Linked DNA regions of Drosophila melanogaster. The protein of the gene in region 1 purifies or fractionates together with the protein of each later gene. This does not show direct contact. Each region holds a gene or a part of one and is shown on either strand. Other genes may lie near its edges. The genes, in order: Ptp10D and sas.

Region 1 (5,171 bases):
TGAGTTAGTAGCACCGCATCGATGCCCTATGAAAACCCCTATATTCAGATATTTACCCATAAAGTATAAAGTTTATGAAAATTGAATTCGTGCAAAAGTGCAACAGTGAAAAACCTAATTAGGAAAATTGCCAGCCTTATCGATTGCATCACTCAGCTGAGTTGCACACATCGAGGAATCGGCAATGCAATTACTTATTATGCAACACAGCTCGAAGTATCAATTAAAAATGCCAGGCATGCAAAGTATTTAGACAAATTCCTTGAAACGAAAATATAACTATCTGTTAAGTTTGTTATATTTAATTATTCTGAGTGTACAGGGTATAAATATGTCATCATCTTCTGTTAAATGCATTCTACTTCATATCTGCACAGCACACGACTTGAGATGCAAAATGCAAAATCTTGTTCGGTTATTGTTTGTTACTCTTGCTTTTGTTTGTTGTTTCCTCAAGGTCTTTGATCGGATTGGAGTTTGTTTGTTGCTTTGTTTGTTTGTTTGTTTTTAGTACTGTGTCCAGTGAGGCAAATACATTCGCATAAACAATGGCGAAAAGCAAACACGATGCGAAATAATTGAATTTAATTAACATGGGAAAGACCACAGACAAAAGTGACGAAGACGATGATTTCCATGTGGGCGGTTTAATTCGAGGCGGGGGCGGGGTCGTCACAAATAAATAATTAAATAACTTCGGACAATGTTTGCAGAACCTTGTCGTTTCGATAGCCCTCGAATTTAGAAAGTTATTTGTGCACATTTCGAGGTTATTGTTGTTTATCATATCTTTTGAACTCCTATCTAATTTTGCATATTTCTCTTGTATTGATGTATCCTGAATAATTATTATTATTATCCTGAATAATCGTTTCTCCCAAGCTAAGATTCCGAAACGGGTAATTCGACGGGCCTATAAATCCACCCGCTATTGTGTGTTTTGGCCATGTTTTTGTTGGCCCTCTCGCTTACCTTTAGTGTAAATGCTGCCAGAAATGCTAAACTCCAGAGCCAGCGATGTTGTGGAACGGCTTTTTGCCTTTTGAGCCGGATTCTAGTAGTGGCTTTACTTAGCTGGTACAACATTTTGGGGCCGTCGTTTTGCTGTTTTCGTTGTTGTTTTCCTCTCCGCCTGGCTCTCTTTTGTTGCCTGCTTCTTGTTTTATTTGTTCCTATGTTGTTGTTGCTTTGGACTTTGCAATTTATTGTGCGATTTTTGAATTGGGCTTTTCGCTAGTTTCTTTCGAATTCGGGCATTTTTAGCGCGAGTTTAGTCTTTACTTTGATTAAATGCATTGTTTTCACAGTTTTCCCGTTAGTGTGGTGAAATTTTGTAAATTTTTATCCTGAATCCAATTGCTTGCAATTTGTTGGTTTAATTTGAATTGATTAAAACATATTCTTGTTTTGTTTTTGTTTGTTTTTTATTTTGTGATCTGCAAGAGAGTATGAATTAAAAATAACTGAAAGAGTGATCGCAAGAGGGAGACAGCTAGATAGTGCCGCTGTCCTGCTCTCTACCTGCTCTGCTTCCTCTTCTGCTTATCCAACACTTTGCGCTTGCGCCGAAAGCTTCAGTTCCTATTTTTTCATATTTTTCTGCGACTTGTTTCTATATTTCTGCACAGTGGAACTAGGCAAATGCAAATTTGATTGAACATTTGAGATTTAAAAACCACTGTTAAGACTTTGCTTAATAAATCAATATCAATTATTTTACTTATCTAGCAGTAAAGTATAATATTGAAATACCCGTTCTACTTAAGTTTTCATTCCTGGAACTGTGTGATTAAGCAATGCATTAAATTCATTTAAATCTAATTCGCAGACAAGTGCTAATTAATTGCACTGTCTTGTGCAGTTGCAAAAAAATACTGCTGATCAATAATTTAGCCTGCGCTGACGTCATTGAAATATTTAAAATATCGCAGCCAGCAAAAAAACCAAATAAATATGAAGAACAAATAAAACTAAACGTCTGAAAACCAGTTTTGCGAAATCAAAACGATACACGGCACAAAATTCAAATTGTATTGACAAGTATCATATCTTCTGGAAAATTAAAGATGTTGTCCTTGTATCTTTTGAATAGACTTGTAATGAATTGGTAATCCTGCTGTAGGACTAATTTAATTTAGGAGTTCCCTTTTAAGCTACTCTAATTTTGTTCTGTGTATGTTTTGTTATTGTTGCACTGTCTTGTTGTTGCTTTCTGCGCTTGGCAACGTTGTCATGCAGAAAAGACCTTCAACTTTGTTGCAAAGAGAGGAAGACAGAAGAAGAGCAGAGCAGATTGATTTGATTGATCTTTTTCCTTCTGGTCGAGAGAGAAGAGCAAGAGAGAGAGAGAGGGAGAGAGGGAGAGAGAGAGCTTTATGATCTCGGCACATAAAACACAAAAACAAAACAAGTTTTTAAAAACGTATTTCTTCACCTCTTATTTATTGTTAAATGTGGGACAAGTTTTTTTAATGCGACTGGAAATTTTTCGCAACTTATTGTCAGCATTAATAGAGATTTTATGAAACAAGCCAAAATGATCCCCCAAAATTGAATGCCGTCAGAGAAACAGGAAGTGGAGAAATTTGCCGCACAACAACAAAATATTCAAATGAGGCTGCGTGTGAAAGAGAGAAAGCAGCGGCATGCCAAAAAACGAAATAATACATAAAAAAGCTGCGTAGGTGTTGCTTCTACCTCTCTCGCTCTGTGTCTGTCTGCCCCCCTCGGCCAACATTTTTTGTTATTATTATTGCACACACATACACACACACACACAAACAACTCTCAATTTCTGCTTTTACTTTAAGCTTTATTTCAGCATTTCTTACGTTTTCCACTGCGTTTTTCTCAAATTTTGCTCATTCGGCACGCCACTAAAAAAAACCAAAACATTTAAATATATACACCGTTAATTTGTGTATTTTATTTACTTCTATTCTGTTGTTGTCGTTGGTTATAAAAAAAATAACAAAAAACAAACACAGGCGCACGCACACTTACACGTACACGCAGGCACGCGACGCAAAGCACAGACACAAGAAAAAAGCGGAACGGACAATCGACAAATTTTGCGTTTTTCGAGCGTTTGCTTTGCGGCCCGCCTTAACAGATTTCGCGTCCGTACCGTCCGCACTCCGGTTCGCTCTTCACCACACTGAATTGGAATCTGATTCAAATCGGATTCGAGTCCGGAGTCGAATTTGGAATCGGAATTGGAATCGGAATCGGAATCGCCAACGCTCGTTTCACCTGTAGAGCTGGACAAATAATCGATGACCCAGCGATGGTATCGATAGGAACCTGCGCGGCTTCTATGTTTCGCTTGTAACTGTCAACTATTTAAAAGCAGAATTAACCATTACTTTGCTGCGCGGTTATAAAATAGTTAAATACAATTAAATTTGTTGCACTTGATTCTTTTTAACGTGAACCAAGCATTGCGGCAGTAGTACTTCGGCCATTACAAGTCCGAGCTCCGTAATTCTTATTATTCAATTACTCACACAAAATGTTAGTCCAAATGGACATCTGAGCCATGGGCTTAGTGAGCCAAGGCGATAGGCTGTATATGTGTACCCAGACAGCATGCACAGCGAAATGTTAACAAAGAAAACATTTAATATTTTATTATTTATCCCGCGCAAAACCGATCTGACCAAACTCAAGGTGTTTTTTGTTTCCGAATGCAATCGATTATAATCGATAGTTCAAACTCACCTCTGAGGGGAGTTAATTCGCCGTTATTCGGCTGCAATGCGTGCGCGCAAGGCAGATATAATGTGGCGCGCATTTCAAATCAGCTTATAAAAAAGTGTAACATTCCAACTCCTGAAAATAGGAAGTAACTTCATTGATTGAAAACACTTCCATCTTCTTTTATATAATTTATTATTTATTAAGGTTTCATTTGCATGAACTGTTACTGGTTATTATAATTAATTATTGTTAATTACAGGCTATGTTTTAATTGCTAGAGATTAGCAAGTTCTAAAAATTACATTACACATTATTATTCTTATACAGAGTATACCTCTTGACATTTGACATTACAGTTAAAACTAAATTACTAAAAAAAAACAATTCAAACTTTCATTTTTATTTGGACATATAACAACGCAAGGAAAACAAACAAAAATTAAATGAAAGGATAAGCCAAAAGTGTTTAAAGAGCACAACTCGTTTGAACAAACACTGAACGATTCGCTGGGGAATTAGCATTGGACTTTTAATTTAATTACACACTAGACAAACCGAGTTATAATTAAAAATACAAACAAAAAATTGAGCTAAACGAAAAGTTAATAGCATATATGTATGCATACATTTATAGCTAGAGGAATTTCGCTATAAAACAAAAAATAACGAAACGTGTTCCCCCCCGCCTCCCGCCTTCTCTGCGCCCATCACCAACCGCCGTTCCCCCAAACCCCCCGAAACCACCCACCGCCTCATATTTACCACTAGAACCACTTGGCCGAAAAAAAAATCATATATTCCCTCCGATACGCCGGTGATAAGAACGCAACGCCAAGGACAATGGCAAAGGCTTTGATAACAGGTCGGAGCGAGATGGGAATATGTCTCGCTCCCTTTCTGTGAGTATTGAACTACAGCCAAACTTCGCTAGTACGAACTTCAAAAACACTTTGAAATTTCAACTTAATCATATTTTGTCCAGTAGACATTATAGAAGTGTAACATAGATCAATTAAAATGATTATATTGTATTTAGCGGATTGGATTTTGGATGACAAACTTTTTTTTTAATTTTGAACACATTTGTAATAACTACAAAGTTTATAAGGATATGGATTTGGGGTATGCTTATATGCTTTGTAAAGTTCCCAAAATTAAAACTGTTGAAAAATAAAGCTGCGCCTGGAAGTGTTTTTATAGATTACAAAGGGATATCGAAGGAGATTTGTGATATAAATATATATACATAAATATATATATATAAAAATAATATGCTATTCTTCATAAAATAAAAAACCTTTAATAAAGTCTCCAATTCTGAGACTGAAGAGTTTGACTTGGATTAGTTTGACTGTACATATGTAGTCCTCTTTCTTTCTTCGAGCGAGACGGCAAAACTAAAAGCGAGCGTTTAATTTCCATCGATTGCAACATCCGTTTGTTTAACTATTAATGAGTTGTGTTTAGCACGT
Region 2 (5,043 bases), on another chromosome or scaffold:
CGGCTAAAAAAGGCCAGTCCCTTTTAAACAATGCATTCCCACTTGCCATGGCAACAACCTATGCTCAATCGATCTAGACCTGTGTGTGGCCTGCTAGACCTCGTTTTATCGAGTCATCAATGAATCTAGATGGAATAGTATCAAAACAATGAAAAACCAATTGAAGTTTTTACGACGGAGTGCTTGCCTCGTGAAGAGTTTGGTGTGCAACTGACATTAAGCCCAAACAACCTTCTAGATAATTATAAATCTGTTACAGCCAAGAACTCGGCAATGGAATTGCCCGATTAATCTATTTTGCAAAAGGTACGTGTGTGAAAGTTAATCATTCCATCTCAGGTGATCTGGTTAAACGAATTTCTCCAGTTATCCTAATAACCTAAATGTGAATGTGTTCATTCAACAGAATTACAAAAAAAAAAAAAAAAATCTAATCTGATTTATTATTTTTTATTTTATATTAAGTATCAATTGTATCGAAATAGAAGTATAATTCAATTTATCTTGAGTATCTTGGGTGTAGTACGAGTAGAATATATTAAGATTTAATTAAGTTCATTCACTTGTTCTAGCACGAATAATAATTTCTCGTATAATTGGTTTCCGAGATTGAGCTTGAGGGCCGGAAATTTTAATATTTTCCCTTTAATATGCCGCGTAATTAACTAAGTAATTCAACAGGAAACCGCTTATGTATATCTTCAAATATTCTTCCATCCATTAATAGTCAAACAATTTCTCTTGTTCGCTCCATTTAACCGAATCGGAAAATAATTATGGAGAAATGCCGTACAAATCGAAACGAAATGGGTAAAAAAAAGGGCGGACCAGAAGTCACGCACCGGCACGGCGTTAATTGGTGGCTCAGAGAACGAGATTTGATTACGGCGCAGAGAGCACAGCGCGGCTAGGCGGGATTAAAGTGTCTGGCCGGAGATCGGGATGAGATGCCCCAGCTATGCGAGCGTCGTCGCGTAGATGCCGTCTATCTATAATTTTCATGGCTTTCGGCTTGGACTCACCAGTTTCGGTCGCATTGGATTTGTTGGCCGCCTCAGTTGTTGTCGTCGTGGAAGTCGTTGAACCATCCGCCGCCTCGGTGGTTATGCTGCTGATGCTGCTGCTTTGTTCTGCGGCAGTTGTGGCTGGAGTGGTGGTGGCTGCAACGGCGTCTGGGGCATCTGTTGTGGTATCCAAAGGTGGCATCGTTGTGGCCGCTGCGTCTTCGCCTGCGGGCGCAGACGCCGCACGCTCAATTTGAATGCCAAGCAAAAGTAATCCGCAGAGAGTGGCCAGGCACATTCTACTCCACTTGATCGTGGATTGGCCGCCGGAGGCTTTTCTTCTTCTACACGTTTGCATTTTGGTTTATGTTTGTGCTCCGTCTTTTTGGCTTTTCCTCTTTGATTTTTCTCACACGTTTGCACTTGTTATTGTTAATTTATAGTAATCTGCTATAAATATGGAATTAAATAAATTACATGCACTTTTAAACGTTTCGAAGGGTCTCGATAACTCATTACCTACTTTTGTTCACTAGTTATTATTTAGTTTTCTCTTTTGGGGTGCGGGATTTTCTTATGCGGTTATTTTAGTTCACACGACATCTGTGGCAGCGGTTTCTGTTATTTGTCATTGACTCGCTTTGGTAACCCCAAATGCTGTCATTTCCGTTGAAAGTCGGTTGAATAACGATCTCTCAAGTGTCAACTCAAGTCTATATTTTGCCAGCCGATTTGTTGAGTGATTTGTTAGGTCGCCCTACGCGGAAATTGGAAAGTTGTTAGCTTGAAAATAGGGGTGGCTTACTCTTGACTCAATCAATCAAAAATAATATGTGAGTTAATTAAGCTACGAAATAAAAGTATTAGCTAATTTTTCCAAATACGCCGCATATCTAAAGCATTTCCTATGTCACACATTTATGTAATGACCAATTTAAGTGTGAAAGCGTAAACATCTTCGATGCCACTCACGCAAGTTCGTTTCCCAAGTCTTTTGTTTTATAAAGTTTCGCATAGTTTTGAATGTGTCCGAATTTTTGAAAACCTATGTAGATTTACGATACGTAAACCCTATTTAGCATATTTCATTTAGATTTACAACTTCTGTACCTAAGCCTAGAGCAGCTCATAAATATCTTTCATTTTTTTAAGACTACGCCGCCAGCACAATGTTTACTTCTCACCATTCAAATCAGAAACTAGGCAAATAAACCAGCTTGCCAAAAACAAAGGCTGCCAATTGGGCTCTAAAAAAAGATATACTGTTTATATGCAAGGCAGTCGATGCTCATGCAACTCGCTACAATGCAACGCCAGCAACAAAAAACCCTAGACCCAAATTGCGATAGCAAAATATTTCAACCGGTTCCAACGGCAGCAGCAGAAACTGCAACTGAAAACGGCTGCAGACCGCAGAATTTGCTGCACGCCTTTTTGGCCATATTGGTACGAAGGCAATTAGACAGCGTGCGGTTCTATTTATTCCATATCTGCTGGCAATTGTTAATATTTCTTTTGGCTAACATCTAGTGATGTCATTGTAAAAGTTGATAGCTATTTGCACTGACATTTCGCATTTCACATTTCACTCTCACTCCTTTTTTGTAGAAATGGCAAATGGCAGAAAGCAAACAGCGAACAAGCGATTCGGAGCTGGAGGGAGAAAACGTGTTTTCGGTATTTCCAATGGAATGTTTTCGGTCGTGGTTCTCTTTTCTTCTGCTGGGCCGTTTATTTCACTACCAGATCTTGTGTTTGTTTAATAAGAAAGCAAAGATTTGCATAAATCACAACCGCACACACACGCAGGCACGCTTAAAACGAAGATTAGCACCAACCCGGCGAGAAATAGGTATAGGTATTGGTATATATCTCCTCTTATCTGGCCACGTTTGTGGGCAGCGCGGTTTATATGTATATATAAATCGTTCGCAAAGTAATGCGATCGCACTCGGCCAACCGCTCCGTCTCAAGCACGACCACCAACTGATCTCTCCGGCGGCACGGATCTTGGCTGGTAGCGTTGCCAACTCACCACGGTCTGCATCTGCAGGCTGCCAACATGTAACTGGTTTGCTGTTGCTCTCCGGCCAACTCTTAGTTGGCTCTCATCTGGCTGGCTCCTTCTCGCGCGTCAGCTGAGCGCAACAGGTGAGACCGTGCACGTAATACATAATACCCATTACCATTACCCCGTGGTTGAATGCTCGCTCTCACCCACACTCAGGTGTGTCTAGGCTGTTGCTGTCTGCCAGTGTGGGTGTAGTGAGCGAAAGGCCCTCTCTAGAAGTCGTTGGATTCGAAACAAGACGACCATGATGCATACACAAGACTCAAAGACGGAGTTTTTTTTTTTCAATTTGGCAAGGCAACTGCAATAGTCGATTCCTTGACAAGTGAACTCAGCGCGATCTATTTGGACTGTCCAATTGGATGGCGAAAAACTCAATCCCATTGAAAAACCCAGGCCAAGCCGAGTTGGCATTCATCGTTCCGATTACGCCTACCTTCGGTTTCTTTCTTCCTCGACTTCTTTGTCTGACTTTTTGAAAGAGCACAAGCGTAGATTCGTATTAGCGGCCCTGCATCTCCATACTCGTAGATCCAGAGTGTTCATGAGTCAGGGATGCTTGGGGTCACAGCGGCACTAAGAGATTAATCCCATTTACAGCTTTCGTAAATATGATTAAATAAAGAAATTCTATGCTACTTCGAAAGAGTGAAATGATAAGTGATAAGGTGATACCTTATCACCCCTATTGTAGGGTACATTGAACACTCGTGAGTGATAAAAATGATTAGTATAAGGATAGCATTAGTACTATATTATATTATATTATGTGAAATAATTACTATAATCCCTAAATGTTTGGTGTTCTAATAATATTTAACCAATTACTTTGGGATAAGTAAAACTAGAGATAAGATAAGTACGCCGACGCTATTAAAACCCAAAAACTAGTCGAGGTCAAATCGGTTTCTATAGAGGAAAGTACGATATATGTATATATAACTACATAAAAGTTATTTTTACTGCGATACCCGAAATATTAAATAAAACTAGAAAGATTCATGAAATTCCAATATCTATTAGCAAACCCAAATAACCGCCATTCCGAAGGCCTTATCTGCGGAGCTGCTCCCAAATTCATAAATCCACCGATCACTGACTGATCCACCGCCATCAAATGCCATCGATGCAAATATCAATTCTCCACTTGGGATGCGAGACGCGCCCAGAAACCGTCATCACACATCAATGGCAGCAAGTTGGCCAACCGTCATTAAAAAGGAAATGTGTGTCTGAAGAACTCAAATCTAATCAAATCAAATCATATCCAACTCAACTCTCAACTCTCTGCTCGCAGACGTCAAAAAGTATCAAATGTGCACACAGTTTCTATGTTATTGGGGCTGCTCTTGTGGTTGCATACATTAACGTGCAAACATCAGAGAATAATGCAGAAATGCGCTTTTTTTGGTGTTGCACAAACACGGCCAAAGTTGCATTGTCTCCCTTTGTTTATACATACATATATTTTGTCTGGGGCTTATCGCACCGTCATTGAGAAGCCGCTAATGCTAATGCTAATAAAATACAGGCGAACATAAAAAGATAATAATAATAACAATGCAACTTCAGTTTATGCTCACAGTTTTTGAATGGAGCATTTCTCAATGTATGCAAAGGAAAAGAACGCTGCAAGAAAACGGAAACTACAAGTAGTGTCTTTTGCATAAAATGCACAACATATGAATACTAAAGCATTAGGAATTAAGAATTAAAAATTAAGAAATATAAATTAAGCAAAAGAAAAGAAGACTAGAAGTGTTGTAAAAAATTCCAAAGTTGCATACTACCAATGGGTCTTCCACTGATAGCCAATTATCTAGCTACCAAATGGCCACAGACCTAAGCACCCACTTCCTTGCATCGTTGGAATGGGACCTGGTAAACCTGATACTTGTGTGATTTGATTTACCCAATCGCATGCAATGCGATAGCGCAGACGAAGAGCAGCGAAAGTTGTTCAATAGT

Evidence for each region.
Region 2: the proteins of Ptp10D (region 1) and sas purify together in Drosophila melanogaster (affinity purification with western blotting; one study listed by BioGRID). This does not show direct contact.

The regions. Positions count from the first base shown.
Region 1 is NC_004354.4:11,620,018-11,625,188, reverse strand, and holds the start of Ptp10D (protein tyrosine phosphatase 10D), read right to left. Parts: upstream 3,175-5,171; 5' UTR 3,004-3,174; exon of another isoform or gene 2,832-3,003; intron 1,437-2,831; exon of another isoform or gene 1,360-1,436; 5' UTR 1,087-1,359; coding exon 973-1,086; intron 1-972.
Region 2 is NT_033777.3:7,160,840-7,165,882, reverse strand, and holds the start of sas (stranded at second), read right to left. Parts: upstream 3,076-5,043; 5' UTR 2,843-3,075; intron 1,762-2,842; 5' UTR 1,524-1,761; intron 1,455-1,523; 5' UTR 1,363-1,454; coding exon 1,023-1,362; intron 1-1,022.